4 linked regions of the Lonchura striata genome follow. The protein of the gene in region 1 purifies or fractionates together with the protein of each later gene. This does not show direct contact. Links are inferred from orthologs where the notes say so. Each region holds a gene or a part of one and is shown in the gene's direction. Other genes may lie near its edges. The genes, in order: TMEM192, CTSD, ACP2 and LAMP1.

Region 1 (7,691 bases):
AACTGAAAAAAAATGAAGGGGAGATTTAAGTCAAAGATACAAAAAGGTTTAGTCTAATAATTCTGGTATAAGCAAGTACTCACAGAATTAGTAGTTTATTATGGTGTTTCTGGAGGAGAATTTTCACTCAGAATTTTCAGTCCCTTGCCAATATTTCTATGCAGAAGAACATTGGTATCCAAACTAATATACTGAGGTCAAAAAATTGGGAACTTCAGAACTTAAAATATTCAAAAGAATATTTGTTGGTATGTTAATATTTAACCATACAGCCTAAAAAGTTATTTTACACAAGCTAGTTCTTGACAAGTTCATTTCAAGATTTTCAGACAACTGTACCCAAAACTGAGAAAAAAAAAACTGGGGGAAGAGGGTGGGAGGGGAAATCAATTATTTTTTCCTTGAAATTTCAATCTTCTGTCTTTATTTCAATTTTATCAGTAGCTTTCCCAAGGTAATTATCTCAAATATTCCTCTTTTTTTAGAAAATTACCCTAGAAAGTATACTGTGGCAGGCACATTCTTCTCTCTCTCAGGATTTTTTCATAGAGGAGCACAGAGGAAAGAAAGAGAAAACAATTTCTATTTCTACTCCTTGTTTTTCTCATGTGGAATGTGTTTGGAGAATTGTTTACCTGAGGGTGATTTCTTGATTGGATTCTGGTGAGGATTGTTTGAGCCTGATGGCAAATCCAATCCACCTGTGCCTGTGTCTGGATGAGAGAGAGAGTCACGAGTTGTGAGGGAGTTAGATATAGTAGTTAGAAAAAGTAGGTTTGTAGTTTTAGTATCTCCTTCAAATAGTATATTAATGAATTCTAGGATAGTTAAAATAAAGAAATCATTCAGCCTTCTGAACTAGAGTCAGACATTGTCATTTCTTCCCACCGGGTTCACCTGCTTTTACAATAGTATATAATCTAAACTCAAATATTTTTATAAAAAGCTCTGTTTCCCTTTATAAAGTTCAAATAGATAGGTGTCATATTGTGATAGCTTTATAACAGAATGTAAGCAGGAATATGATTTTGAAAAATCGGAAGAAAGTGAAAAAATTACTCTGCATAGGGAGTACTTTTTGTTGCATTTTCACCCTGCAAATTAGGCATTTGCTTAAATGCTAAACTATTTAAAACTCAAACTTATTTTAGCACAAAGTAAAATATATTGGGATAGTTAATTCTGAACCTTTATACTTCTAGTGTGTATTTTTAAAAGGAGATATGAAATTGAAAAGTTGTATCATTTCTTTAACCTCTATTTGTTTTTTAATAGATCTAGGAAATCTGTAAATTTTTTTTAAGTAATCAAGAGTGCCCATTCTGTTTTTACACTTTTTCTCTTTGCTATTCTTTTGCTCTTTGTCTCATCTGCATAAAGCAGTCCAAAATCTTTTTCTACAGCCATATTATCTACCCTTTTTCGTCAGTCCTAACTCTGGACTTCATTATGGATATGTAAGACATTTTGCAAAATCATTTGTACTAATAGACAAGCTGAAGTAACCCATTCAAATTTGTATATTAATCAGTGAACGACTGAAAGAGTTTTTATCAACACCAGTGTAATGCTCCTCTCTTTTTAATAGCTTGCATTTAAAGGCCACAGATTTTTTTAATGGGCACTTTATTGAGGAAGCAAAATCTGCATAGCAAGTGGCAGTTTTTGATTACATGATTACCATGCATAAATAGCCCCGTGCTGCTCAACACAAAAACTTGACTCTTACATGATATGAAAATCTGAAATTATACATGGAGTGAAAGGTTCCTTTGTATTAAACATATTCAGCAGTGAACTGGTTTTTTAACCTCCACAGGATTTAAAAAATTTACAGGAGTTTGAAATAAAATGAGTACTTCTGAAGTGTCTGTAATATGAGGCTAGAACATAGACTGCACTTACTGCAGTATGGCTTTCAGGATTATTACAGCCAATTCAGGCAAATAAAATTTTCTACTATTATTTTTACCTTTTCACTTCCCATTTATATTTTAAGTAATTTGGGGATCTGTCACAACCTCATATTCTCAGAGCAGAGACTGTATTCTGAATACATAGAACTGAATACAGTTTAAGTACTAATTGTACTTGTAGTATGAAAAAGAAACAGTAATGATAATTACATCTTATAGCTGAATGTGAAAAAGTTTGTGAGCCCAATCCTGTTTCCATTCATGCCAAATTTTACATGAAACTGAGAGGAAGAAAATTAGATATTATGTCTCTTTGTGAGGATACAATTGTGACAATTAGTCCCCAAATATTGTAATTATTATGGATATGGCAAAGGTAATGCCTAAGTAGAGCATTTATTCCTGTGTATCTAATGTCTAAGTAGAGCTTTCCCTAAGGGCAGCATAGTATTGTTGGGCCATACCACATCTTTTTATCTAACCCTTAGCAGATATCTTCATCATTACTGAGGGAGCTGCAGTGGAAAGAATTTAGGACCATGCCATATCTTTATCTGTTTTAGACTGCCCAGCATTAGATCATCCTTCAGGAGCCAGACTTGCAAGTTTGTGTACACTAATATTACAATGTCTGCAAAATTTGATGCAAGATGGAACAGGAATGGACCAGAAGAGAATGTTACTTTATTAGAACCTATCTACATCACTAAAACCTCTCACTATAAAAAAATACTGTGAATCTAGTAATTAAAATCATACATCAAAACCAAAACAAAGATTGAGTGATCTACTAAGAACAAAAGCAGACTACTACTGTAGAGAATACATACATGTTTTACATAAACCAGTTGAAACTGGCAATCACATGCTTTTAAATATGTTAACTGATATTGTATGTAGTAAGTATTTACACACTTCAAATATTTAAACTTGTATTTTTCCCTGTGCTCTTCAATAGTCCATTGAGAACTTTTCAATTCCCATTCAGTAAAAAAAATGTTTACAATTATATATAAAGTTATAGCTATTCAAATGAGTGCTAATAAATGTTAACCTACTGGGACTTTAGGATTTTAAAATTACAGTTAGAAGAATTTTTTCTTTTGATTTTATTGTAAACACTTGTCTAATGGCATATCTTACACACACTGCATATATGTATGCAAATTGTGGCCTCACTTCACTGTCACTGAAAACTTTTGTCAGCTGCTTACTGATCAGTAGGATCTGTGTTCTTGTCAGGAATAAAAAAAAAAAAAAAAAAAAGAGGAAGCACAATAAGGAGGAGGAAAAAGAAACATTTAGGCTGAGAAACTGGAACAGAGCATGCTCTTATCAGAGGAGCTGGGCTTTATCTCAGTCAAACCAGCAAATTTAAGGCTTCTTTTTAATTTAAGATAGTTGTCCAGTTCATTAAATGTGTGTATCTGTATTAAACAAGAACAAATGAATGCAAGTGATGAATGTAAATTATCTGGTGCGAGGTTTCAGTTGAGAATTTTTTTTCTAGAAAAAGCCAGGAAAAGTCACCAAAACTGAGATAAAAAAACTTGGAACTTCTTCTCTGAAGAAGCTCAAACCTTAAGAGCAGTTTTCATCCCTTGGCACTCAACATGCTTTCAAGAGAGACAGAGCCACTACAGCTGTTCAAGGTGACAGTCCTGGCTTCTCTAAAGTAATACATAGAACACTCACAACCTGGAGAGGATACAATCTTACTTGTCTTTCAGACCCCCAGTTACAGCTTTGACCCTGTTCAGAGTCCTCACTAGCATTAGCTGAAGGTTAAGGGGGATGTTCATATAGAACAAACAGAAGGTTAAGAAACATTAGCATATGAACAGAGCACATAACATATAATAAATATGGTGCTTTGGAAATTCATACTTTGCACATGCTTGAACAAACAGAGTGTCATTCTGATCCTTGTCATTCCAGAGAGGTTACAGCTGAAAAATGCCACAGAGGCTAACAAAAATACATAAGTACTAAGCACAAGTAAGTGGTTGAGGAGTATGCAGAATACACGAGGCTGTCAGTGTCAGTAACACAGAGATCCATAAGGGAGTAGTCTGGACACTGTGAGTGGCCACAGTCTTTCTCAGCATGATCATAAAGGGTTGGAAAATGAAATTACCAAGCACACGTTTTAAAGAAAACGCATTTCCTGCCAAAAATATACAACAGGCCCAGAAATGTCTTAGAAAATGTATAAAGTGAATGCTAAAACTTTTTGTGATCTGAAGGGGCAGGCAAATCCACTGGAAACAGTAACTAGCTGTATAGACTCCATGCTTTCCGCAAGAGCAATTGGAGGTGAGAAGACACTGCTCTGCAAGCCGACACCACACTACGCTGCCTTTACCCCACACTTTGGCCAACCATCTGGGGTACTTTCCCCTCCCAGCGCTGCCTCCCGACCCCCGGCCCCGCAGGGACACGGAGCCTGCTGGAAGCGGTCTCCGTTTGGAATTCAGTCGCGGGCTGCCGAGAGAACCGCACCGAGCACGGCCACGGGGCAGCGCCGCTCCCGGGGCGGGCTGGCGGCGCGGACCCGTGCCGGGGCGGCAGGACGGGAGCTCAGGCTGGGGCTGGGGCTGAGGCTGGGGCTGAGGCTGAGGCTGAGACCCGTCCCCGGCCCGGCCCCGGCCCCGCGCCGGCAGGGCAGGGCCGCGTCCCGGGGCGGTGCCGGCGCGGCGCGGGCCCAATGGCGGCCGGGGCGCTGCCGGCGGGGCGGGGCGGGGCGGGGCGGCGTTGCCCGTGGCCAGCCCGTGGCGGCGGGGCCGCGCTGGGGGTGCCCATTAAACGCGGCCGGGGCGGCTGTGGCGGGAGGCGGCGATGGCGCTGGCGGCGGGGCGGCGGCGGCAGGACCTGGACAACGTGAGCGCGGCGGGCGGGAGCGGGGCCGCGGCCGCGGGGACCCCGCCCGGGTGAGCGGCCGCGCTGCCGCTGGGAGTGGGCGCCGCCGGGCGAGCGCCGTGTGCTCCGTGTGCTCCGTGCCCTCTTCCTTCCGCCTCTTCCGGGCTGTTTCCGTCCCGGCCGCCGCAGGCTTTGTCTGTTTTTTCCGGCGGCCGCCGCCGGCCCAGGCGCGTCCCCGGTGCCGCTCTCCGGAGCGAGGAGGCCGCCGCGGCCCCTTGCTCCCTGCGCTGCCCCTCCCAGCCGGGCTTGAAATATCTCCGAGGCGTTTGGGCCTGGCTTGTTTTTAATCGAGATTATTAGCCTCTATTCGGGGCTGCTCATGTGGTTGCTTCAGGTTTTCTGGGTTATTTTTCCGCAGGCGGGTTACGTGCTGTTCGCTGGCATGACCACGGCGTTTTTGTGTTTGTTTGAATGTTTCTCCCCGCCCTAGCTGGAAGCCGGTGTGGGCAAGGCTTGCTGGCTGTGGCTTGTTGCTGCCTGCCCTTCTCCTGCTGGCTCTTGTGGAAGCGGTCACATGCTGGAAGTGGAGCAGGGAGCCAAGAGGCTAAAGCTTTAACCTGTGCTCAGCAGCAGGGCCAAACAAGTCTGGATTTAAGGCATTTTGGCTTTTGACAACTGTGGTTTTGGCTCATCTTAATGAAATGAAACCAGTGTTTACTCCGGTTAGGAAGGACACTTACTGGATTTTCTTCATGACAGATTGACTGCATAGGATCATCATATTCTGTGCTTTAATTCCCCTCCTCTCCATGTTGTCTGTAATAAAATTTATTTAAAGAGATTATGTAATCTAGTGCTTCCTAATACTAGCTGTATTTTAGGCTACAAAGATGGACTGTAGCCAGTCTTGTGAGAAAGTAGCATGGTCAAAGCTCTGATAAAGTTTTGTCTGTGAAGGAGTGCCCTGATCCCTCATGGAAATAAGGGAATGGTGAAATACAGAAATGGTGAATCATTTGTTCCCATTAGACTAAGGATAGTGTCTTAAGAAGAATTGTTGGGTTTGTGGGACATGTGAGCTGTTAACCCCATTATTGATTCTGTGATCATAGAATGGTTTGGGTTGAAGGTTCTTTAAAAATCTATTTCCAACCCCCCCCTGCCATGGGCAGGAACACTTTCCACTAGACCAGCTTGTTCAAAAGCCAAGCCAGCCTGGCCTTGAGCACTTCCAGGAATAGGGCATCTGTAGCTTTACCAGGCAACTGTTCCAGTGTCTCTCCACCCTCATGATAATCAATTTTTTACTGATGTGTAATCTGAAAAATTAGGTAAGATGCCTTGGCTGCTGGAGTGTTGGTCCTTGCTTTCAGTGCTTAAAATTACACCTGTCCTGTGAAAATGGGTGAAGGAGGGCTAGCGGGCATCTTTGCTCTCATGCTTCTGGATTTTATATCAGTGACATAAGAGGAATGTCATTTGTAAACATTTAGGTGTGCAGTAAAAGGTCATTTTACCAGGCAGGTATTTTAGTAAGGGTCATTTTCAGTCCAAGACTGGGCTAATTAAAAGGTATCTAATAGCTGAGGGTGGTCTGTTCACACTCCTCTATGGTAGGGCAAGTGTATTGTTCATGGTTCTAAAAGAAAACTGGTTGTTGACTGAAATAACTCTTTATGACTATTTCCTTCACTTTAGGCAGTTGTCTGCAGGTGAAATTACACTTGGGAGACAGTCTACATTGTCCTCATTGACATGAGGTATAAACCTAGGTGTAATCCCTCTCTTCCTGTGTTAGTGTCTAGAAGGATGGAATGTTTCATTTGTCTTGAGGCTTATGCTGCTTTTTCTCATGGCAAAGAGAAGTCCTCAGTTTATAAATCAGAAAATAGTCTGGTGAAATGTGGCACATCTGAATAGTCAGAAGTCTGGAGTGGGATGGGGTCTGCCCTTGTCTTCTTCTGGGCTCTGGTTGGTATATGAAAAAGAGCAGTCAAAACTTGAGTGGAAATCTTGAGTTGTTTTCTCTTCTGAGGCAAAGGACATAACAGGATGCTAAAGAGAAAATGTAGCAGTTGGCCATCATAGTGCCTTGTGTATGTTTCACTTAATATGTATTGAATGGCCTTGTCCTGACCTGAAAGGAGCAGGGATGCACAGCTGTGGGGGAAGTTCCTTGTCCAAAGTTTTTCCCTTCACTTGTACTTAGTTTTATCTTCTACTTAGTAAAAGACACTATATTTGAACTGAATGTGAAGGCAAATAACTAATACTTGGCTCCAATGTGACAAGGGCAGGCTGCATTCTCTCTAGTGTAGGCAGTGCCTTGCTCAACACTTTGGTAGCATCTTCTTGCCTCTATGAACTACTGCTTCTTTCCTGCTTGAGTTGAGCTCTAGTTACTTCTGCAGGTGTTTTGACATGTCAGTAGTATTAGAGGTTGAATACTCAAAACTGTTACTGTTACACTGCAGCTTTGTTGTTGCCTCCAACTGCAGTTGGACAAAACTAAGAACAACAAAGAATTTTGCAGTAGCTGTATAAAGCATGTGAGAAAGACTTCGTTATTTTTTCCCATGTTCCTGACATCTCTGGGGTCTGAAGCTCAGATACTTGTTATACATTTTTAAAACTGAAGTTCCTGAAGGCTCAGTGTGATACTAGGAAGTAGATTAGTGCTGGATTCCTCAGGGACAGAGTTCTCACATGTGATGAATGTTTACCAAGAGTTTAAGAGGTTTCTCAAGATACTAACCTAGTGGGGTTTTCCTCCCTCAAGGCTTGATTTGCTCACAGAAAATTCCTAAACTTCTGTGCTTTACTTTTAGAGCTTACCTTAGAGCTATTGTTTGCCTTCCCCTTCTGTTCCAGGGTTCCTTGGAAATAACACAGAGTTTGGAAGATGATCCTCTACTG
Region 2 (7,065 bases), on another chromosome or scaffold:
CAACGAGCTTCAAAATCAGAAATGCATTTTCTTGAATTTGAAGACACCCTCTAAAAATCTCCCCCACAGCTGAGCAAAAAAACCTACATCTCTGAGCTGAAGCTTTCCTTGGCCTGTAGGTCATTGCAGTTCACAACATTGGTGCTGCTGTGATAAATAAATTTAGGAAAAAAACACTAAGGAAAGGGTGAAGGCAAACACAGAGCCATATGTAAGGACAAAGAGACCACTGTAGCAGCCTTGGCAGAGGTCTGCCAAACTGCAAATGAGAGACCTGCTAGAGCCCCCCAAAAATAAGGCACTTGAAACTGAACATGAGCCAGTGTGCTCCAGTGGCCAAGGAAACCAGTGGCCTCCTGGCCTGTATGAAAAATAGTGTGGCCAGCAGGGCTAGGGCAGGGATTGTCCCTCTGTAATGCTGCTGGTGAGGTTGCACCTCAAGTCCTGTGTCCTGTGCTGGGCCCCTCACTACAAGAAAGTCATTGAGGTGCTGGAGTATGTCCAGAGAAGGGCAGTGGAGCTGGTGAAGGGTCTGGAGGACAAATCTTATGAGGAGAGGCTGAGGGAGCTGGGGGTGTTTAGCCTGGAGAAAAGGAGGCTAAGGAGAGACCTCGTCACTCTCTACAGCTGCTTGAAAGGGAACTGCAGTGAGGTGGGAGCTTGTTTCCACAGGTAACAGGTGACAGGATGAGACAAAATGGCTTCAAGTTGTGCCAGGGGAGCTTTAGACTGGATATTGGAAAAATTCATTCCCTGAAATGGTGATAAGGCATTGGAACAGGCTGGCCAGGAAAATGGTGGAATCACATTGCCAAAGGCATTTCAAAGCCATGCAATTGTGGCACATAGGGACATGGTTTAGTGATGGACTTGGCAGTACTGGGTTAATGGTTGGGCTCAATTATCTTGTAGGTCTTTTCCAACCGAAAGTATTCTATGTTTATAAACTAAGCTGCATCAGGTCCCTGCCGGTGGGGCAAAGGGCAGATGGGACAGCCAGGTGTCACTTGCAGAGGAGACCCCAATCTCCCAGAGCTGGGGTGCTCTTCCCAACTGGAGCTATTGGAGCTGAGTCATTTGACCCCACCTTGGGAATCCTCTCAAGCAGGCACCAAGGTTGCGAAAGCATGGCCGGGCCCCAGGGGCGTGTCACCCCACACCCACAGCTGTGGCTGCAGGGGAAGATGCTCTGGTTCACCCCTCAGAGCCGCAGGGGATGCAGGGGGCTAGGGAGGCAGAGCAGCATGGAAAGGGGTTCATCCACTGCGACAAAAATAGGAGTGAGGAGGGATAGATCCCTCCATTGTGTCTCACAGGTTCTCTAGATACCTCAGCCATGGCACTCCCTGTTTGCTCCACAAACAAGGAAAAGTGTGTAAAAAAACTCTAAGACCAGGCTCGTGCTACTCTATCTTTTTAAGATAATATGGTACAACTCTCACGGTCTCAGCCTATAAATACCCAGACGTGCTCCCAGCTCCTGGTCAAACATACCCACTGTACTTCTAAATGCTTTAACATCAGGGCAAACATTCCACAGAGGAGCTGAGGGAGCCTGAATGCAGAAATCCTGTCTCCTTGCTGGAGCCACTGGCCTCCCAGCATGCAGGTACTGCAGTGTCAGCTCCAAAACTACTGGTGCCAAGGGACAGAGACAGATTAAAAACTCAGGGGATAAGACCCCCAGTCCCTTCCCATCCTGCAAGCACCCAGGAGAGGATCACTTTTGTAACATTCCCTGACACAGCTCCATTCTCACTCTTTCCCAGTAAACCACTGGAAACATGGGGCATGTAAGTCACTTAGAACAGCTCAAAATGCAGCAACCTTCTTACACTGGTATGAGAGCAATCCCAGATGAGGACACAAGCCTTGCTATAATGAAGCTCAAGCTAAGGCTCATTCATAACAGCAAAGCTTGCCTCTAATCCCTTGGAATCAAAAAAAAAACAGACACAGCCTGGGTCCAGAGTTCTTTACTCTGCTGAAGCACTTTGCTGTGCACTGTGTGATGGTACATGACTAGTATGGCATGTTGTACTCACCGACCCATCCCTGCACACTGGAGCCCACTCCATAGCCACGGGATTCTAGCAGAGACTGGCTAGACTGGAAACGCTTGAGGAGGAGCTACCATAGGTGCCCCAGCCTGGGGGCCAAGGCGCAGGTTGTCTGGCCAGCTACAGTGTCCCAGCCACTTCAAAGAGAAGGGAGGAGGACTGGTACTTCACTTGCTCTGCCAGAGGCTCCAGGAAAGCCTGTAAGGGACATAGGGGATGCCTGGGCTGGTGTCAGGATTGTCCTTTTTGTCTGCAAAGTACATTTATAAAGGGGTTTAGAGCCCTTCAAGAGGGTGGATTTGATTAGATGGGGCCACGGTCGGGCTGGTTTATGTCTGAGCCGCTCCTGCCCACGAGCATCCAGGGGGATGAGAGGAGGAGAGCCATGAGCTGGAGCAGCAGCAGCAGCAGCAGCAGCGGCAGCAGCAATGCCTCTGGGGTCAGGCTACCGGTGCTGCGGCCCCGCTATGCCTTGGCCCCTTGCCCGATGAGCCACACGGGGTTTTGCTGAGTCACACAGCGCCGCGGGGCCGGGAGGGCCATGGGCTTTGCTGACTCACGGTCAGTGGCACTCGCTTGACCACACACCCGCAGGGGCAGGAAGGAAGCAGGTGCTGGCCGAATAACGGGACCCACCCGGTCCAGCCAATGCCTCCGGCGATCGCCCCAGAAAACCTCATCCCAATGGCAGCTGTGTCCCACAGGCAGGCAGCAGGTTTCCTGAAGCCCATCAGCTTGACCAAGATGTGGCAATTTGGAGAGCTCGTGGGACAAGATGCAGCCCAGGGCAGAAATGCCCTCTAAAAATACTCAGGATGGATCACAGTTGCGGGGGTAGCATGCACAGACCCAGAGCAGCAGGGTGAGGCCGTGGGAGGATTGAAGAGGCTTAGGGACAGAGTATGGGAAGGAGCTGGTGCAAGTGAGGAGACAGTAACATGACCCAGCAATTTTACAGAAGTTGCATGAACACAAGTGTGACAGGAGAGGGACGGGAACCTCATCGCAAAGCTAGGGGTCCCCCACTCCAGCAGTGTCCAACTCGTCCCACAAGCTGCTACTTTCCCATCCCCATGACTAGGCACGAGCAGGAGCAGGAAACAAGCCCTCCCAGCCCTCATGACTTGGAAGGGAAAATGTCTGTAAATCTGATTTAATTTTTATTGTTTTCCTAGCAAGTCTCGTGGCTCTGTAGGAGCTCTGTTGTTGCAAACTGGAGAGAGATTAGCTGTGGCCTCCTGAGTTGGTGGGGTGACACCTCTGAACACTGTTAGGACACTGGTGGTGGTGAAGAGCCCATCCCGGTACTCCGCAATGCTCAGTCTGTATTTTGAGGAAGGGGCAGACCTCGGGGACTGCTGGTGGCTGGTGTCCCCCCGGGCTCTGCCCTGCACCGGCATCGTTCTCGGTGGCTGCAGGTAGCACAGGACCCCCACAGAGCATTTTCAGGGGCGGCAGATATAGCTTGACATCCCCCACTGCACCTCCCAAAAAAGCTGTGGCCTAGGATATGTCCATCTCCTCCAGAAACACCCAGCTCAGAGGGACTGGAGGGATGAGTCCCCCAAACTGGAGGTGTCCGGAGAGCAGGGAGAAACACGGGGCTGGGGGCTGCACCATGAAAGCGCCGTGGTGACAGCGGCTGGGGCCGAGGTCCGTGAGCGGCCCAGCGCTGCGAGGAACTCGGGGTGTGCTGCCTGGCGCTGTGCATGTGTCCTGTGTCCCCCCCGCCCCACTCCCCTGGGAGAAAAAAAAACGCCGGATAACCTGGGAAGAACAAAAAAAAACCCAAAAAGGCAGCCGAGCAGAAGGAAGTCGGAGGCAGGGCAGGAGGAGCACGCGCGGCCGGGCAGGCATCTCGTGATCGATTTCCCGGTGTTTATTCCCCTTTCCCGGGGGCTGAGTCACGGCCGGGGGTCAGCCCGGGGGGGCCGTGAGGCGGCGCCCCCGGCCCCGCCGCCGCGCCCGCCCCGTCCCGCCCTCACGTGACGCCGCCGGTGCAATTTTAGACCGTCAGCTGACGCCGGGAGCCGTGGCGAGGGCCGCTCTGCCTACAAAAACAGGCTCGGGGAGCGGCGGCGGCGGCGCGGCCTCTCAGCTCGGGACCTCCAGCCTCCGACCGCCAGCAGCGCCATCGCCGCCATGGGCCCCCGCGGCCTCCTCCTGCTGCTCGCCCTGGCCGGCTCCTGCGCCGCCCTCATCAGGTGAGGGGAGGGGGTTCCTCCGGGGCTGCCGGGCGCCCTGCGTTGGGAAGGACGTGGGGAAAAGCCCCCCTGGTGCTGCTGCAGCGGTGGCCTCCGAGCTCCTCTCGCAGCCCTCCATACGGGTGGCTCCCCCTCCATCAAAGCAAGGAGGGGAAGGTTCGGAATATCCCCCCCATCCTGCGCACGGAGGGGCCTCGCCCCAGCTTCCCCTGCACCTGGAGGCCTCTGGCAGCCCGCCGGCCTTTCCCCCTGTCCTCTGGTTTTGGGAGAAACACTGAACGCAGCGCGGCGAGGGGGATCTAGGGTAGGGTGCTGGCAGGAGCCCAAACCTCACCCACCTCCTCCTGGCGCGTTCCCTGTTTTGAGTGGAGCCCTGCTGCCCCCCTTCCCTAGGTATCCTTGCCCTGCACACCCTCTTTAACAGGTGTGCGTTTGCCGTCCTCACACAGGATCCCCCTGACCAAGTTCCCTTCCATGCGGCGGATCCTGAAAGAGGCGGGCAGTGAGATCCCAGACATGAATTCCATCACCGAGGCCATCAAGTACAAGCTGGGCTTTGCCGGGGCGGGTAAGCCCACTCCGGAGATTTTGAAGAACTACATGGATGTGAGTAACAGCCCCCCTGCAGACCATCCCCTGCACTGCAGCGGACCCCAGCACAATGTCACTTGTAGAGGTACCCATCCCAGGGGGTGGTGAGACATGCCAGCCTCCCACCAGCCAGGAAGGCAGAGGAGTTGATCCTGTAGTACAGATTCATGCACCTCCATGGCTTAGCGAGTGGGTACCAAAAGGCGCTTCCTATCATTACTAAACTAAAAATACTAATACTAGTAATTACAGCAACAGCAAACAACCCTTTGCCAACAAGCAGGAGCTTTTCAGTTTGTGACCTATTTCCTTTCCCCTTTGTCACTAATTAACAATCATAAATAGGGGCCTACTCACTTACAATCATTCTTAGCATCTTCTGGCCGTTTGAACTCTACTTCTGGCAAGGCAGAGGCATAAAAATCATGCTCTACTCCTTGAGGATGCTAGCTTACTATGGTACTGAGGATGCTAGCTTACTATGGTACTGGGGATGCAGGACCCTTCCTCTCGCTATCCTTCATCTTTTGCACTGCCCTGGGAAAAGCAACCCTTTATCTCCACTTTCTTGTCAGCAGCTTAGGGAGCAAAGAGACCTGGGTGGTGGCGGAAGGAGATAAAGGGCATGAAGTTTGCCCTTGCACTGCTGCCAGACACGTGTGGGGTTTAGTATTTCAGGGTTCCTTACGGGGCAGCGTAGGATATGAGCATTAGCTGGCAGAATAAAACTGGGCCCAGATATTTAGGCATTAGTTCAGCACATGTTCCCGCTGCTGCCCTTCCCCAGCAACTGTTGTCACCCAGCCAGCGCTGTCCTGACCTGGGAAGGGCCACCGGTGTTTCAGTTGGCAGTGTTGAAAGCCAGGGCCAGCGGTTGTGTCACGGTGCTGTCTCTTGCAGCCACAGCTCAGACCACCACTCAGGGCAGCACTGTTTTCCCTTGTCACGGAGGCACCAATCCAACCTGTGGTGGCAGATAAGGGACCACTGGATCCCTCCCTGACAGGCTGAAAATACTTTTGCTGCTGCCAAATAAATTCTTGGGACAAGCCCCACTAGCCTGCCTCATATGCTTCCTGTCCTGGGACCCTTCATGGGTCTATGTGTGTGACAAACAGAGCCCCTGTACCGGGCGTTAATTTTCAAGCCCCAGCAATAATTATAGAAGCACTGGAAGCAATGCTGCCTCCCCATTATGGCTAATTGCAATGTTGCAATGGATTGTTAATTACTTAGTGAGCAAGCCTTGCAAACTAAGCGCACAGGAGGTGAACAGCTTTGATAATCCTGTTTCCTTCCCTTCCTCCCTTCCCCCCCTCTTAATTAAGTACACGTGGGGTTTGGAAAGGCTACTGCCTGACTTCTCTTGCTAGGAGCCTTTTCTCCAGAGCCCTGACCCAGCTGCTCACCAGGCAGGACACAGCTCCCTGCCTGTTTGGGGAAAAATGAGTCCAAGTAGCACCTGCCTAGCATTCTCCATTCATCCTCTCCTCTGTGGAGAGAGGGTTACTTTGCCAGCAACTCAGCCATTCTGGTTTTTTCCAGTCCCAGCAGAAATGTAGTCTCAGAGCAAAAATGTGTCCATCAGATACCTGTGCTACAGGGACTTCTCCCAGTCTTTCACCCTGGAGGCCTAAATCCATCTCTGGTGATGCTGCTCATGCTCTTTGCTCCCACCACTCCTCCAGTCTTCCACCTCTCGAGGCTGAGCATTTGTTTATTCCCCCACATTCCTGGAGCTCACCAGCAAGCACCAAAACCTGCAGCAGCTGTACCTCCACCTGCAGTGGGCAGTGCTGCTGTTCACTGTTTCTCTGCAAGCACACGAGCAAAGCAGCTTCCCAGCCAGTTTCAGCTTTTCAATAACACAGGTGTTTTGCTTGGCTTCCTTCCATCATTTTTTCTCATCCCTGTAGTGAACTGCATGCTAGCCTGCAGATCTTCCCCCTTCTCTTCTCTGCCTCCATGCCCCAAATGTTCTCCCCCGCATGCACCCATCCCACTTGTCCTCGATTTATCCTTTTCACACCCACTGTAATGAGTTGTGAACGCTGAAGGGGAACCTCCCTTCCAGAGGGCAAAAGGCTGGGAACCCATAGGTGCCAAAACCAAGAGGAGGGCAATGTCTAGATAAGAAGCTGATCCTCTGTTCAACCCTAAGAGATTTTTTTGATTTTTAATCCCTGCTTTTAGCTAGCTGCCTCTGCTCA
Region 3 (8,005 bases), on another chromosome or scaffold:
GAATCCCACAAGATAGTTCTCCCACTTAGGCACTAGTTTCAGTTCTGCTCAAAACAAGAATTAGATTTCTCATCCTCTACCATTTTCTCTTCATTTCTTCACTGACTTCCCACTAAATAAATATTTTTTTTCCCCTCCTTAAACCTACTGGGAAGATCTGCAATGCTCTGCTCTCCTCTGTGCACTACCTTAGTGAACCTTTGTTCTACCCAAATAAGATTGTTGAAGACATTGACAATGCATACTTCAAAGTGATTTATTATATTACACCAAAATTATGTAAATCACCTTAACATTTTCTTTGTGACACTCCATAAAGCGAGTAATTTTGCTTTACAGGAAATCTGGTTTTGAGATCCCCAGATATAAAAGTACAAGTTACACTAGCTTTAGTGGTGTCTCCCTTTTGGTGGGAACACAAGAAAGAAATTTGTCTAATGTTCCAAATATGGAAAAAAAAGTATTTGGTTACAAGCAGGAAGTCACAGAACAAAATTGACATGGGAATGCTAAAGAAAGCCATTGCATCATTTCTAACTGATATATTTTTAAGGTCTGACTGAACATGGACGGCCTCTTTTCATTTAACAATATTGAACACATCTCTCAAAGATGAAGTAACAACAATGAAAATGTTAAGTCAAACACAGTACTTGTATACTAGCAGAAGTATGATCTAATGACCAAGTTCAACCTGTTTATAAGCCTTAATGCAAACCTGTACCTATCAGAAGGAAACACTCTCCTGAATTCCCTCCTAAGATGAAATTCCTTCACACTGAGACAGTTTCCACAGCCAAGCGAATGTGACTGCCTTCCTGAGTTATTATGCTGTAAGGAAAACACGTTAACACATCCTACAGAAGATCAGCAGAATATTCTCCCCCAACGAAACAAGGTATTTTTGTAGAGAATCATAAAATGGTTTTGAATGGGCCTAAAAAATCCAGTAAGTTCAACCCCCACCACAATGGGCAGGAACGCCTATGACTGTTCTGGAAGACTGACTTTTCTCCAAGGCTGTCAGGTGTGAGAATCTCATTACTTGGCGGGGGAGGGAAAAGAGGGAGAGTGACAAACAATCTGATAAGCTTTCCTATTCAACATGCAAAGACCCACACAGCTGCAACAATGAGACTTTCACAGCAGCTGCCTCCAGAGCAGAAAGTAGGATCATCCTTCAATGCACCCAAGACAAAGCACATTATATTCTATACTCTTCCTTAGAGAGATGGAATCACAACTTCTGAAAAACAGCAACAGTTAAAAGATTTTTAAATTCAAAACTTGAAATTTTGAAAACTTGTCAGTCTTGACAGCCATACATCTAATTAAAAGAGACATATTTCTAAGACGTGAGACCATCACCACTTGATCTAACATTCAACAACAGCAAAATTTCTTCTGATTACCTCAGAACAAGCATGCCGAGTTGCGAGTACTAATCCAAGAAAAAGGAAAAGAAAGAGCAATCAAATGCACATTACCACACTGGAAACACAACTCTTCCTGCAGGTGTAAGACAGGGACAAGGCAGCAAACTCCTGCTGTGTATTTGTACGGCTGCACGCCTGTCCTGCATAGCCTCCCCCTGCCTCCCTGCACAGCCAGCTGGTAAGGAAAACATGCTGACAAGGCACAGCGAGCTGCAGCAGCAGTAACTGGAAACAGCAAGCGAGAGCAACCTCAGGCACACTGCCAGGACACACTAATTCTGTGATAAAGTTTCCTGTCCCTATTTTTTTAGATTAGGCAATTTATATACATACAGTCCCTGCTGTGGTACTTCTCCCTGCATCCCTTCACAACATGAGTAGCTGCAAGTTTCCTCTGGCAGCTACAGAACTCCCATGCAGCTCCACAATGACCCATTTTCTATCCCCCTTCAGGCTAGTTTAGGTTTATTTCCTCCACCTTTTATTCTGGAGGTCTGGGAGAAAGCTGTTAAATATTTTCATCCTGGCTTTTCTCCTGCAAAAGTTGACCTTCCTGTATAAAAAAGAATGCATGGACACATTCATGTATGAGAAAGAAGTGTCACTGCAAGTTCTAGACTCCAAAAAGGGGTCACAACAGGAAGCCACAAGTCTGTCTGCCCTCACAAGCCTTGCAGCAGCAGTATCTTCTGGTGAATATACCACAGGTGTGGTGACAAAGAAGTGTAGCAAGGCCAATCTCCACCTGGTCCTGGCACAATGTGTACCACGTCCAATGCCCTCGTTTCACAACCCAAATGATAGAAGGGTAGAGCTCAGGAACAACTGGCTGTTTGAAAACAGTTTTTGTTTCCCTAATTAAAATATAAGTAATGTTTTTGTACTTCAGCAAGGGGGTTATGTTTTGATTCAGACTCAATTTAAAAAATCAAGCCCACCACTCAGTAAAGGAAATAAAATCCAGGTTTTCTGTTTTCTTTTGTCTGTCGTCAGGTATAGCCCTCTCTCTGACACCCAGGAACAGAAGATCAACTCTAAGTACCTTGGAACACGAAGCAGATCCAAGAAGACTCTTCCCTACAGACAAACATAACCTGCAGTCATAGCCAGAAACTGTCTGACACACAGCGATCCAAATTGTTAGTCAGAAACGTGACTCAGTGTTGGAGACTCCCTCAAAAAAAGCCTTGCAGGGAAGAGCCCAGCTGTCCCTTTAGGAAAAAGAAAAGAAGGGAAGGAATTTTCAGGAGGCAGAGCATTTCTCTTTCACTGGTGATCCAAGGTTTGCTTCCAGCCCATAACGAAATCCTGTCTTGACAGATCTGTGGACTTCAGCAGCATAAGCTTCAGTGAAACGGCACAATGAAGAGTAACCACCAATGTAAGCAAAGTTACCTTTTAACAGCACCATGCAAACCAACAGCCGTACAGAAAAGTTTCTGCCCTAGAAAACTCGTGACCTGGGTTGACAGGATGCAACAGGTGAATGACACAGAGAACTTAAAGTTGAGCAGAGGAAAGCTAACAAGTTACCACAAAGCAAGTAAACATCTCCTGACAGCACGTCCGGAGACGGCAGACAGAAACCCGGGCTCTTCAGATGCACAAGAGCCACTAGAAACTGACACCGCTCCCAAACGCCTCCGACCCCCTTAGCAAAGGGACTCTCCGACAGCGCGCCCTCGGTCCCCGCCGGCAGACACCGCGCATCGCGGCCGGCGCTGGGCTCCGGACCCAGGCCGAGTGACCCCTTCCCTCCCGTCCGCTCTCGGGTGACGCCGCCAGCCCGGCCCGCACCCCGCCGGCCACGGGTGCCTCAGCGGGACGGGCCGCCGCCGTCCCTCTTCCTTCCAGCACCTTCCAGCGCCGCTCGGCCCGGCCCGGCCCGGCCGGCAGCACGGCGCGGGCGGGCGGCGCTACGCCGCCGGCTCCGGGTCCAAGGAACGCGGCGGCTCTCGGGCCGGCGCAGGCCGCGGGGCGGGACGGCGCGTCCACGTCCCCCGCCGTGACTCACGGCCCCGCGGGCGGCGAGGAGGAGACGCCGCCGCCCCCAGAGCCAGCGCGGAAAGTTACCGGCGCGGGCCGCGGCTCCCGGCGACGCGCGGCCGCCGCCCCCCGTAGCGCCGGTGGCCGAGCCGCGGGCGGGAGGGGCGGCCCGGCCCGGCGCTGCTCCCGGCGCTGCTCCCGGCGCTCTTCCCGGCGCCGCGGCGGAGCTGCCGTGATGTCACGCGGACCCGGGTCACGTGCAGGCGCCGCCCGCCCCGCTCCGCCCCCACGGGTCCCGCGGGGCGCGAAGGCTCCGGGCGCGGGTGACTCCCGGGCGGCGGGACCGCAGCCCCTCCCGCCGGCCTCGCCGCCTGCCCGCCCGCAGCCGAGCCCGCAGCGGCGGAGCAAAACCAGCAGCAACGACAGAACAATCCCAAAGAAGGTGCCGCAGGAACAGCGCGCGTTCTCCTTCCGCAGAGAACCTTCTCCTTCCAGCACTCGCCAGGAACTTCCTCAGTGGTGCGGTATCGGTAAACAAAGAAAAAAAAAAAAAAAGAATGCGGCTTCGTGCTGTCCTACAGATAGGAAACGTAATTCAGTTTAAATTCACTAAGCATTCGAGCATGAGCAAATTAAACACGTTATTCTGTCCAGCTGAGCCTCGTGTATTGCACCAATCCTGTCCTGAAATAACCCGCTTGCTTCACAAACAATCTGGCACCCTCAAGTTACATGCCTCGAATGCTTATGATGCAGGGGGCTGCTCTGGGATAAGGTTTGGCTTGAATTATTGAGACCTTACACACAACTTTCTGACGCTGCAAATTCATGCCTCCCAAGACTTCCTTGCAAACGCGAGAGCCATGTTTCCTTCTTTTCTTAAAAAAGAGAAAGCCGAGAACCTCATTCACCGCCCTCTATGCACTTCTTAGTGGAGATAAATACTAAGTAGCACTAAATTGGTTTAAATGCCTATGATTTTTCTCTAAACACGGCACCTACGAGATCCTCGGCCAACGATGCCGATGCAGAAGCCGGGTTTCGTCTCACACTCATCTAATTCGACTAAGTTTCGTAAAGAACAACCAAAACCGGGCAAAACCTGCCAAGGCTGGGCAGCCTCTTTGCCCAGGGCCAGGAGCAGCAGGAGCTTTCCATTCCACACGGGCATCCTGAGGCTGACCCGAGAGATGCGACGATTAGCGACCCACGGCTGCCGGGCATTGCGTGCCAGGCCTCCTTCCCTACTCCTGCCCACGAGTTCGCCCGGGACCACACGCACAGCGCCAGAACGCTACGAAACCTCGCGTCCTCGAGCGAAGCTGCGGCGGCGGTGACACCGCTGCGCCCTCATTCCCGCCGCTCCTACCGAGCGCCTCCGGGGCGAAGCACCGCAGGGCCGACAGCGGAGGTCAGCGCCGGCCCCGCGGGCCCGACGCGGCCGCTCAGGGCGCCGAGCGGGGCTGTCCCGCCGCCGAGATCCTCCTCCTCGGGGGCGGGCGCAGCGCCGGGAGCGCGGCCGGGGCTGTGCGCTGCGGAACCCCGTCCGCGCGGGCCGGCGGCCGCGGCGCTCGGTTCCGGGCGGTGTGCGAGCGCCATGGCGGGCGGGCGGGGCGGTGCCGTCCTGCTGCTCCTGGCGCTGTGTCTGCAGCCGCCGCCCGCCCGGGCCCGCAGCCTCCGCTTCGTGACGCTGGTGAGGGGGACGGGGGTACGGGGGCCGGGCCGGGCCGGGATGGCCGGGCCGGGCCGGGGTGACTTGGTGCCGCCCGCAGGTGTACCGGCACGGAGACCGCTCGCCCATCAAGGCCTTCCCGCGAGATCCGCACCAGGAGAGCGCCTGGCCCCAGGGATTCGGGCAGCTCACGCAGGTGCGGGGCGAGGCGGGGCGGGCGGCGGGGGCCGGGCCGGGGTCCGGACCGCCGGTGACGCCCGGTGCCGTTGCAGGTGGGGATGCGGCAGCAGTGGGAGCTGGGCCAGGCCCTGCGGCGGCGCTACCGCGACTTCCTCAGCGACGCGTACCGGCGGCAGGAGGTCAGTGCCAGCCTCGCGGCTCGGCGGGCCGGGGCTGCGGGTGGCTCCTTTGGGAAAGGAAACGCCGGCGCCGGGACTCGTCTCCCAAGTATTTTCGTTCCTTAGCCCGTTCCCACTGCAGGAAAAAGAAGGGCCCAAGCGCAGGCTCTGTGCTGAGTCTGGCCGCGGGGCACGGATCGACCCTGTCTCAGCGCTGCCCTCGCAGCGGATGTGAAGGCAAATCCAGCCAGAGCTGTGAGACTGCTCGAGCTGCCCACTCTGAAGCCCAGGGAACTAAAGAGCAATGTTTGTTGTAGTTGGTATTTGTTTCTTACTGAAGCTTGTGAGATTTTTTTTTTTTTCTGTTACAATAGCTCACAGCAATGCAGCCCGTGTTGGCCCTGCTCTCCCCGGTGCACTTGAGGTACAATCTTACCAGAGCCTGTAAATATTAGTAGTAATTACTGACCAGCAATGACCCTCTCATTTCCTTTCAACTGTAAAGTATTGACAGCTATAGTTACCCAAAGCTATTCATTCCTCTCTCTCTCATTAGGATGTCCACACACTTTATAACAGTTCTTGAGAAACCGGTAGGTTTCTTTTGGAAAAAGTCATAGAGACCGTGTGAAACTGTGTACTAAGCACAGGTGAAATTATAAAAGATAAAGAAAAGTAAGGAAATCAAAAATCCTCCCAAGTACCTCTGCTAATAATCAACTGGTACTGAGTCAATTGAAACATGAACTGGTGTCCAGATGAGAAGCTGGTTCAGATGGACAGCAGGCAGCCAAGGCCCCTTGTCCCACTACAGGCTCTGCACTACTTCAGTTATTTTATCTGAGCTCAATTAAGCTGATTGAACAGATGGGGCAAACTAAGAATCCCCATACACTTTTCCTTGTTTCTCCCCTACTAGGCTTCCCAGTAAGAACACAGTTTGTCACAATTCAGATTACGTCCCTTCTTTGACATTTACCTCATCAACAAAACTTCCAGCATTGGCTCAAACACAGATCCTTTAATTATACTCAGTATTTTCTTTACAAACATACTTCACTCATATACAGTTTCTGCAAGTTGGAGCTCTTTTCCTTTTCTTGCTTGAGAAAGAAAAACAAACAAAGTTTTGTGCAAACAAAAGCTGTTCTGCTAACCAAGCCTGAACCCTCGTTCAAGTTGAGCAACCTCCCTTGTAAGAAGTGTTGCCTCTGGGTGACACCATATGACCGTCTGTCACCTGACTCAGCGACAAGCTGGAGCCTGGCAAAAGGTGCTGAAGAAAGCATGTACACTCAGGGCTTAATTGCTTGGGGTTTTTATGATACTCCTAGAATTAGGTCCTTATCTTTTAAAATATTTCATTTCTTCAGAGCTTATCAAGGACAAAAGCAAATCTGTCTAATGAGTACAGGGTCAGTTTTTTCAAGCCACTGTTAAGAGGTAAAAGAGGGCAGACATTGATGTTAGAGAAAGGACCAGTTGAGTTTTTTTCTTGTGACTGTAAGGTTCTGAGGTACACTTCACATGAGAGAGATTATACAGAGTATATGTATTTTATGTTTCCCTCCTAACACTTAAAAAAAAAATCACTATCTTTATATTTCATTCTTCAGGCTTTTTGTTCTTGTTTCGGATCAAACATGCTGTTTCCTGGGACATTCTTTTATGATTTCCTGTTGTTCCTCTTGTTTTATTACCAGTTTCTCCAGTTTCCCCTTAACTGTTTTCAGTACACAGATAGCAGAACACTAAAGTTTTGCCATTTTGACCTCCTGAACATTGCTGTATTTTTCTCATTTCTCCTTTTTTCTGGCTCAGAGCTCTCTCTTCTGAGCTCTAGAATGGTCAAGTCTTGGCCCATTAATCCCAAGAGCCCACAATGATCAGGTAAAATCCCAGCCCTCCCTGTTTTTGTTTACTCTCCTGTTAGTCAGATCACTCTTGTCTTTGTTTCTCAGATGGAAAAATTGAGGCTTGAAGAAGCCATTTCTTTTCCTGAGCACAGTCAGTCGTTCCTAGAACCGACAACAGAATGCAGGAGTATTTGCCTCAGTTCTGCTCTGTAAATATAGCACATTTCCTATCTGTACCCATAATTTTCTGCATCCTTGTCTTCCTCTTCTCTGACCCTTCCTCAGACTCAGACTCCTTTCTATCTCTAACCTCTGCACACTGCACCTGGGTATCTCGTTGATCCAGACCAGACAGCTCCAGTATTAGACACCAGATTGCCTTCGTGTGTCTTTACAGTTTTGTCCAGGCCAACATCAGCAGGCTTGGTCCCTTTAACTCTTATTCCCCTGTTGTCCATGAGCAGCTGCAGGGCACTTGACAGTGTTCCTGGGCGAGTGCACCAGCCTGTGCCTGAGCATCACCACTTGCAGGAGCATTAGTAATGATGCACTGTCCCTGTCCTGGCAGATCTTCATCCGCAGCACAGACTGTGATCGGACGCTGATGAGTGCAGAGGCCAATCTGGCAGGCCTGTATCCCCCAAGAGGACAAGAGATGTTCAACCCTAACATCTCCTGGCAGCCTATCCCTGTGCACACAGTCCCTGAGTCTGATGA
Region 4 (7,616 bases), on another chromosome or scaffold:
TGAGCTGTTGGATTATTTAGCTAAAATATGGATTGTTCTATTATTACTACTTCTGCTGGCTTGGGTGGTGAAGATTAGATCTGAGTCAATGAGGCCCTACCTCATTTTAGGGCAGCAGGTGTATTTCACTGTTTCTGTAATTGCCGTAACATTGAGTTCTGCCTTGAAAATAACATCCAGGGAACCTACTGTACAGCGTGCTCTACTTTAAGAAAACAAAAACTTTTTTTAAAAAATACTTTTGTGGTCTCAATATTGGGGAAGCATAGCTTTTTGTCTTGAAAGACTTAAGGACTTTGTGAGTACTTTGTTACATATTGTACATATGTAAGTTGATTTGAATTAAAGAGTGAAAGACACTGTAGATCTGTTAGATAACTGTAAGGAAGATACCTTTATTGGCAATGCTTGCAAGACTGTTTATTTTCCTGACTTGTCTACTGGTATGCTTCATTTTGAAAAAGAGCTACCAAAGGAGTTTTCATCACTACATAAAGGAGAATTTACCTAAGCAATATTTTCTTGAGAGATACCTTACTAAGTTTATGTAACGTGGGGTTTGTGCATCAATTAAAAGGCCACTTCTTAAAGTAAACAAAGCTATGAGGTGACAACTTGTGGAACTGCATATTAAAAGTCCTTATTCTGTCCTCTGGTGTTATTAATTTTATTGCATTCTGAATTATTTTTGTTCCCTTGTGTTTGGAGACTAAACATGTTTAGTTTATTGTATTTAAAGCATATTTAATATTATAATTTAATGCAGACTTATTTTAATATTTGAATCTTCAGTTAATGCAAATAAAATCTTTGATGCATATTAAGTATTAATTTCTTAGCCATTGTGAGAATGTGGCACTTTTTTGAGATTTTTTTTTTTAGTGCTATACCGTTCACTTTTTATGTATATGGAAACCAATCAGATCCATCTTACCAGACTTCTAAACCAAAAAGGAATATGTGCCTCACAGAAAGGTAATGGCCAGAGAGCCTTCATCCACACTGAAAGCTGGCAGTAGTGTGCAGTAGCTGTTAGGAAGCAGTGAGAATGTAGTGCCTGCCCCTTCTGAACCCAAATGTTCTGGTTCAGTAGTTTTAAACAATAGCTTAAAGCAGTGGTGTTATCCTGAAGATGACTGAAATGGTTCTGCTTCAAGAAGCAATGTTAATTAAAAGTGCTGAGATGTGCAGTTTTTCTTAATTGCCACAGACTGAGGGCTCATTGGCCATGTTATTCTGGTTTAGCAATTAAAAATTAATTGTTCCACAGCAGTGGAAATTATGAAGCCTGTCTTTCTGTGCTGTATGCCCTTGGTATCCAACTGTATCATCCCCTGCAAATAACCTGAAGCAGCAGTACTCAAGAGGAGTTGTCCTTGGTTCTGCCTTTCTGCTTGTGGGGGTGGGGGTTTTGTCCCTCATCAACTGCTCAATTCTACCCATCCCCTCTACCTGCTTGAACCTACAGAAAATGTCATGATCTCTGAAGACTTTTCAAGACTGGTCTGCAAGTGGTTTCAGAGGTTCAAAAGCTTTGTGAGAGACTGACGGGCAAGGTAATGGTAACTTTTTCTCAGGTCCTCATTTTTAATTTGATTTCCTCAAATCTTTGTTACTGGGACATTTTATGTGCTAAACCAAACAGGTAAGCAGCTATTTTATGAGTCAGCATGCAAATCACTTCTCCATAGTGAAATAGCTACACTTGATTGCTTTTCAGTAGCTGGTGATAGAATTTGGCTGAGCAGTCTGCCTCAGTCAGTCAGTTCTTTGGGGTCACATTGTCTGAATGTACCTGTCTTCCTGGAAGATCACCCAGTGTTGAAGGTGTTGGGCAGTAGCAAAGTAACAGATGTCCTCTATAGAGCATCAATGTTCAGGTATGTCAGGGAAACCTGGATCTTGGCAGTTCAGTGTCCTTAAAACAAATGGTATAGCAGCTTCTATGGAATGACAAAAATAACAGCAGGGGCCTGGATACAGCCTGGGGCTCTAACTTATCCAAACATACATTATATACATTTAAAAAGCAATTTTCCTAAATGTGACACACTGTTATCTAACCCAACAGTTCCTGAGGGAAAGCAAGTGTGAGAATGTAGGCTGGGGCCTGACTTAAAAGCGCTTCCCAAGCCTGGCAGTTACAGCTCTCCTTAACCAGCCAACAGCCTCCTCTCTGCCCTTTCCTTGAGGCTTTTTTTCTTAGGCTCTATATTTTAGCTTTCCCTGGATTCCTTTAGCTGAACCTGGGTTTAGCACTTATATCTCTTGATCAGCTGCAGCTTTTTCATCTTATCTTTGTGCTATACATTTTTGAAAAAAAATACTACACACCTTTTAGGCAACTTCAATGTCTTAATTTGTTACACAGCTCTACCTATGCACTGCTTGAGGCAGAGGGACTGAGTGCTTGGGAAGCTGCCCAGTGGAAAAGGACCTGGGGGTGCTGGTGGCAGCAGCTGAACATGAGCCAGCAATGCCCAAGTGGCCAAGAAGGCCAGTGGCATCCTGGCCTGTATCAACAATAGTGTGGTCAGCAGGAAAATAGTCATGTTTTGTGGAAATTCTTTCCTTGTAAAATCTCCTAGCCTATACACTGTCTCCCTTGCTTGTACTCTGCCTTGGCCTCACAGGATGGTTTTTACTGTAGTAATGGCTCCTAACTCTCCTGGGTGTTTCCCATGAGCAGCCCATTCTGCATCCATGGCTCTAAAGAAAGGCCAGGGAGTGCATCCTGGTTCCTGCCTGGGCCTGTGAGCAGGCTGGTTGGCCTGCAGCTCTGTCAGATGACGTGTAGTGGCTGGGTATGGACTACATTTCCTTTCCCTCAGTGACAGCACTAATCTGGCTGTGTATATAGCAGCTTTTACAGAAGCTTTGACTTTATGTCTTACCCTGCTATCATGTTTGATTGATGTCAGCCAACAAGTTACCAAGCAGTGGGGCTGATGGCCAGCATTGTTGTGCAAGACTTGATGCATTTGTCTAACCAACACCCTGATAGTACCTGTATTGAAAGGAGGTGGAAATTGATATGGTGCTGTCTCCACACCATTAATAAAAGGCCCAGTGAGCTAATGATCCACATTATGGAATGTCCACATCATTCTCTTCTGATAACCTTAAGTTCTTTACTTACCAAATTTTACCACAGTATTGTTGCTTTATGCAACTTATATATATAATTTTTTTTTTTTTTTTTTTGTTACCAATCCAAGCATCTGCCATTTCTCCATTCAGAGATGCCTACTGATTTTCCAGCAGGGAGGCAAAATACTGCACACCAAGTTTAAACCTTGGATCTCCCTCCCCATTTGTCTTGTGGCAGACTCTGTTTTGCAGACCTTCCTCCATTCCCAGTGCAGGTTCCAAAAACAGTGATCCAAAATGAGAACAACCCATGTCCCACCTCCATTGCCCTCAACTCCTCTGCAGATGAGTCATTCAAACACTTGACCAGAGCTGCTCATTATGTCCTTTTTCAAACTAAGTTCTGCTTTTGACAATGCATGGAAAGAATAAAGATTGCTGGAAGTGTTGCAGGGTAAAACAAACTAAAATAATACATTACTGTGTGTAAAAATACACAGATAAAAATGCAGCATTAAAAAGAAATATGTGTTTATAGCAATAACATTAAAAATGAAAACTAGATCCCCATGCCCTCCTAAGGACCAACTGAACTTATCCAGGATGTTTTGGGGAAACATGACCTGTAAGTGAACTGAGACAAGCAGCAAGGAAGGGTCAAGTTCACAGTAGCTGAACTTGACTTTAGCAGCTGGGAATAGCTAAATTCCGTTTCAAATGGGTTCCGTGTAAAAACGTATGAAGGCAGCTTGGGAGCAGAAATCAGTGTGCCTCGGAGACGATTAACCTGGAGCAGCCTGTAGTGAGGAGAGGGACTCTGTGGCCGTCATTGTGAGAAAGCAGAGGCACGCTGCTACTGGCACACGTTCCAATCGTACTGGGAACGGGATTGCAGGAGCTTCTGAGGTCTCAGATGAAGTAGGCATATCCCTAACAGTGTGGATAAAAGAGAGCATTGGATTACAACGTGATCAAATAACCTGGGCTGTCCATCTCCCTTACATCTGAGAACGTTTACAAGGTAACTTCACCTTTTCTGGTTTTCCCAAAAAAAAGAGAAAAGGGATTCCTTAAAAACCATCAGACATCTGAAGCTATGTGAAATTACAACTTTTACAATGAAGCGATACGCGGAATAAATAAATTGACTCCACAACTTAATGTAGTTATGAAGTGGGTATGTATGCCAGCGCCCGGCACAAGTGAGATGCGAACACGCGTCATTAGCAGCCCCTATTTTGTCTTGGAACACACGTGGCTTATATGTATAGCTGGGTATATACAGATAGAGCACTTCAGAGACAACAGAGCATAACTCCCAGTGTTTCTCTACAGCTGGGGGTGGATGAATTCTGTGCGAGAGGACCGCAGGCGCCCCGGCCCGCCGCCGATCTCGGGGCTCGGCGGGTCACGGCCCCGCTCTCGCGAGACCCGCCCACCGCAGCGCCGCCCGCGTCACGTGACGGACGGCCCGCCCGCGTGACGTCAGCGGTCACATGACCGGCCGGGGCCGTCGCCAGAGCGCCCCGAGCGCGGAGCCGCCGCCGCCCCGCTCCCGGTCCGTGCCCGCTCCCGCCGCGCCCCGTCCCTGCGCCCCGTCCCTGCACCCCGACATGGCCCGGGGGCTGCTGGCGGCGGCCGCCTTGCTCGGTAAGGAGGGGGAAGCGGGTGGCCCGTGCGATCGGCGGAGTGGCGGGGGCGGGTCGCAGCGGCCTGAGGCGGCCCCGGGGCCGGCGGCGCTGGACGACGCAGCTGTAACTGGAGACCCTTCCGCCCGTCCGCTCCCCCTGCTGTGCCTTCCCGGGGGCTGGCTGACCCGCGGGGGCTAAGGGCTCTCGGGGCCATCCCCCCCTCCCCGCGCCGGGCCTGTGGCACCCGGGAGCCTCTGAGGGCCGCCGGGGGTACGGGGCGCTGAGGGGCGTGCGGCGGCGGCTGACCCGCGGCACGCCCGGCAGCGCCGCTCCGAGCACCTGCGCTGGGTGCGGGACTGCGCTCCGGGAGGAACCTGGAAACGCGCCTGGAGCACGAGGCTTGGAGACGTGGGGGCTACTGATGTCATTGCTAGGAAGCAGCGCTTTTCTATAGGGAATGTCGTGCTCCGTTGCTAATGGCTTTCTTCTTACCCTGTTTTGAGCAAAATATGAAACGTGTCCGGAATAGAGCGATTTCAGTGCCTTGATGAGAAGGTTTGTTAGGTCAGCAAGGCTGTTTTACGAGGAAGTGTGCCTTGCTTGTTTACTGATAGCTACCTTGGTTTTGGTTTCTTGTCTTGAAAGCCACATCACACAACACTATCAGGTTTCTGAGATGTGGCTTTGGCAGCAAAGGAAACTTGTTCAGCGGCTGGTCAAAATATTTCCCAAATAGAGTAGCAGTTGAGAATGCTTATCTGCCATCATTTTTGAGCTAGGACAGTCTTTGCGACTCCTGTAACGTCTCTTTGGTACTAAATATCGTTATCGCCATTGACCGTGCTTCAGTTTCACTGAGCCCAGAAGATGCCACTCACAAAGGGCACTGAGCAGTTCAAATATCCAGCTCTCGTGAGGCAGTGTAGCAAGCACAGTGATTTTTAGGGCTGCCAGCTGAAGTGTTGTTGAACTGGTGTCATAGTGAGAATTACTTGAATAGTTAGTTAAATATAGTTACGACTTAAATGAAGAATTGCTTTATAGTTTGCTTTCAAATTAGCTTTTGTGATTTTTATGTGGTAGCACAGTTAATACTTTTGGCCATTGCAGTAGTCTTCCTTTGCTTAATTGGCAGTTGCAAGCATCATTTGGTTCGCTATCTTTGTCACTTTCTGGCATGTAAGATGTGTTAGTTTTCTGCAACCAAGGCAATAGAATAGCTCATTTTACCACAGATTTTTAATTTTTTTTTTTATTTTATTTACTGATAGTTGGGACTTTGTACTAGTGTTTAATAGCTGTGTGTTTCTGCATAGCTTTGTACTACAGTCTTGGGGAAGGATCTTGTGGTGCAAATAGTGACCCTTTCTTGCTAGAGTGTGGTGTTTGGGTTGTAGGTGAGGGGAGAAGAATAAGAGGTAAAGATAATATATGAGCTGAAGTCTTTGGGTATTCTAGCTCATTTGCAGCCTTTTAATCATCTGAGTTAACACTGGTTAGGATAAGGTCATCATCACAGGAGGCTGAAAGATTAGTATGGGTGGAGCAGACATGGAAACTTGTTTGGTGATGCCTTGACTTCAGGACAACAGAATATTTTTTCCACTTGAATACCTCACCATACCTCACTTACTGTCTCAGTTTTCTATTTAGATTGAGCAGCAAGCACTAAGCTGAATGTTTCATGTGTCAGCATTGAGTATTTTGTAATTAATTTTCTCACTACCATCAAATATACATATGGAATTAAGACAACATTTAGGTAGTGTATGGTACATGCAGGGAAAGGGGGCTATGGGAAATTGAAGTACCTCCCCATAACTTAGCTGCTGCTTTTTGAAATACTGAGTAAGATGGTGCTTTTTTGTTGTTGAGCATGATGAGTCAGTTGGGTTGTGTGCCAAACCCAACAGAGCTGCTTGTGCTCTCTGAGATCTAGAGTACCCGTACATTTCTTCATTACTGAAACACAGACACATCAGAGAACACTTTCCTGAAAAATTAAGATTAGAATCAGACCTGTGTAGTGAATAAAAAATGAAGTGTTTGAGAATTGCAGAAGGGAAAATTAGTTTTTCAAGATAGCGTGATGCCATTTCAGAGTCACTGACGTATAATCCACATGTTTCTGTTGTGCAACTCTAGTCCAAAGAGGAATTTCAAACCTTGCTACCGATATAGAGATAGTTGAGAAACTTGATAATGAATTCCAGCCAGTGAGAGCAATATGGTGCTGAATTGTTTTTTTCAAGTTTGGCATTATTGGGCATTTGAAACTGAGACCAGTATAACTTGGTTTTCACAAAATCTAACTGCTTTAATGTTGAGCAACTTTGGAAATACTGTTTTACCAATTGCTGCCCTTGACACAATGTTTGCTTGATAGCTGCTTGAAGTGTGTTGACACAGTCTCTAAGGATCTGAATTAGTGTGCCAGTCATCATGTGATAGGTTATTTGGCTTTGACTTCATCAGCTTTTTTGACTCATGAAGTAACTTCTTGCTTGCTGAGAACTCTGCAGATTCCCTGGCTTACCACTTTTCAGATATGTTTCCAAGGTTTCTGTTCAGGCTGACCAAGGAGTTTTATTTGTCATGTAACCTGCTTCTAGATTGTTCTGTAGCGATTAGGATGTTTTCTACTCAGTAGCAGATGACAAAGCGAAGAATTGCCTCTAAGTACAGAGGAACCTGACTTAAAGATTGATTGAGCTTTGTTGCAACATTAACTGCTATTACCTCTGATAAGCCTTTGTAGGTCTCAAAGATAAAAGTTTGTTTCTAGCAAAAGGCACACCTCGCTTTTGCTTGTTTCAGCTTCAACAGTTTGTCTTTGGTGCTTGGTGCTGAAATGGATTTTTTGGTATGTGTTCTCTTAAACTTGGCAGAAGACAC

What was found.
Region 2: the proteins of TMEM192 (region 1) and CTSD purify together in Homo sapiens (affinity purification with western blotting; 3 studies listed by BioGRID, with this or other methods). This does not show direct contact. The link is inferred for Lonchura striata from reciprocal best matches to the Homo sapiens genes TMEM192 and CTSD.
Region 3: the proteins of TMEM192 (region 1) and ACP2 purify together in Homo sapiens (affinity purification with mass spectrometry; 3 studies listed by BioGRID and IntAct, with this or other methods). This does not show direct contact. The link is inferred for Lonchura striata from reciprocal best matches to the Homo sapiens genes TMEM192 and ACP2.
Region 4: the proteins of TMEM192 (region 1) and LAMP1 purify together in Homo sapiens (affinity purification with mass spectrometry; 3 studies listed by BioGRID and IntAct, with this or other methods). This does not show direct contact. The link is inferred for Lonchura striata from reciprocal best matches to the Homo sapiens genes TMEM192 and LAMP1.

The regions. Positions count from the first base shown.
Region 1 is NC_134606.1:38,857,554-38,865,244, forward strand, and holds the start of TMEM192 (transmembrane protein 192), read left to right. Parts: upstream 1-4,674; 5' UTR 4,675-4,754; coding exon 4,755-4,796; intron 4,797-7,646; coding exon 7,647-7,691.
Region 2 is NC_134608.1:46,500,139-46,507,203, reverse strand, and holds the start of CTSD (cathepsin D), read left to right. Parts: upstream 1-4,055; 5' UTR 4,056-4,202; coding exon 4,203-4,264; intron 4,265-4,713; coding exon 4,714-4,870; intron 4,871-7,065. UniProt on the Homo sapiens protein: Acid protease active in intracellular protein breakdown. Plays a role in APP processing following cleavage and activation by ADAM30 which leads to APP degradation.
Region 3 is NC_134608.1:39,107,830-39,115,834, reverse strand, and holds the start of ACP2 (lysosomal acid phosphatase), read left to right. Parts: upstream 1-4,987; 5' UTR 4,988-5,019; coding exon 5,020-5,115; intron 5,116-5,194; coding exon 5,195-5,290; intron 5,291-5,366; coding exon 5,367-5,453; intron 5,454-7,856; coding exon 7,857-8,005.
Region 4 is NC_134604.1:91,477,283-91,484,898, reverse strand, and holds the start of LAMP1 (lysosome-associated membrane glycoprotein 1), read left to right. Parts: upstream 1-4,608; 5' UTR 4,609-4,703; coding exon 4,704-4,740; intron 4,741-7,616. UniProt on the Homo sapiens protein: Lysosomal membrane glycoprotein which plays an important role in lysosome biogenesis, lysosomal pH regulation, autophagy and cholesterol homeostasis.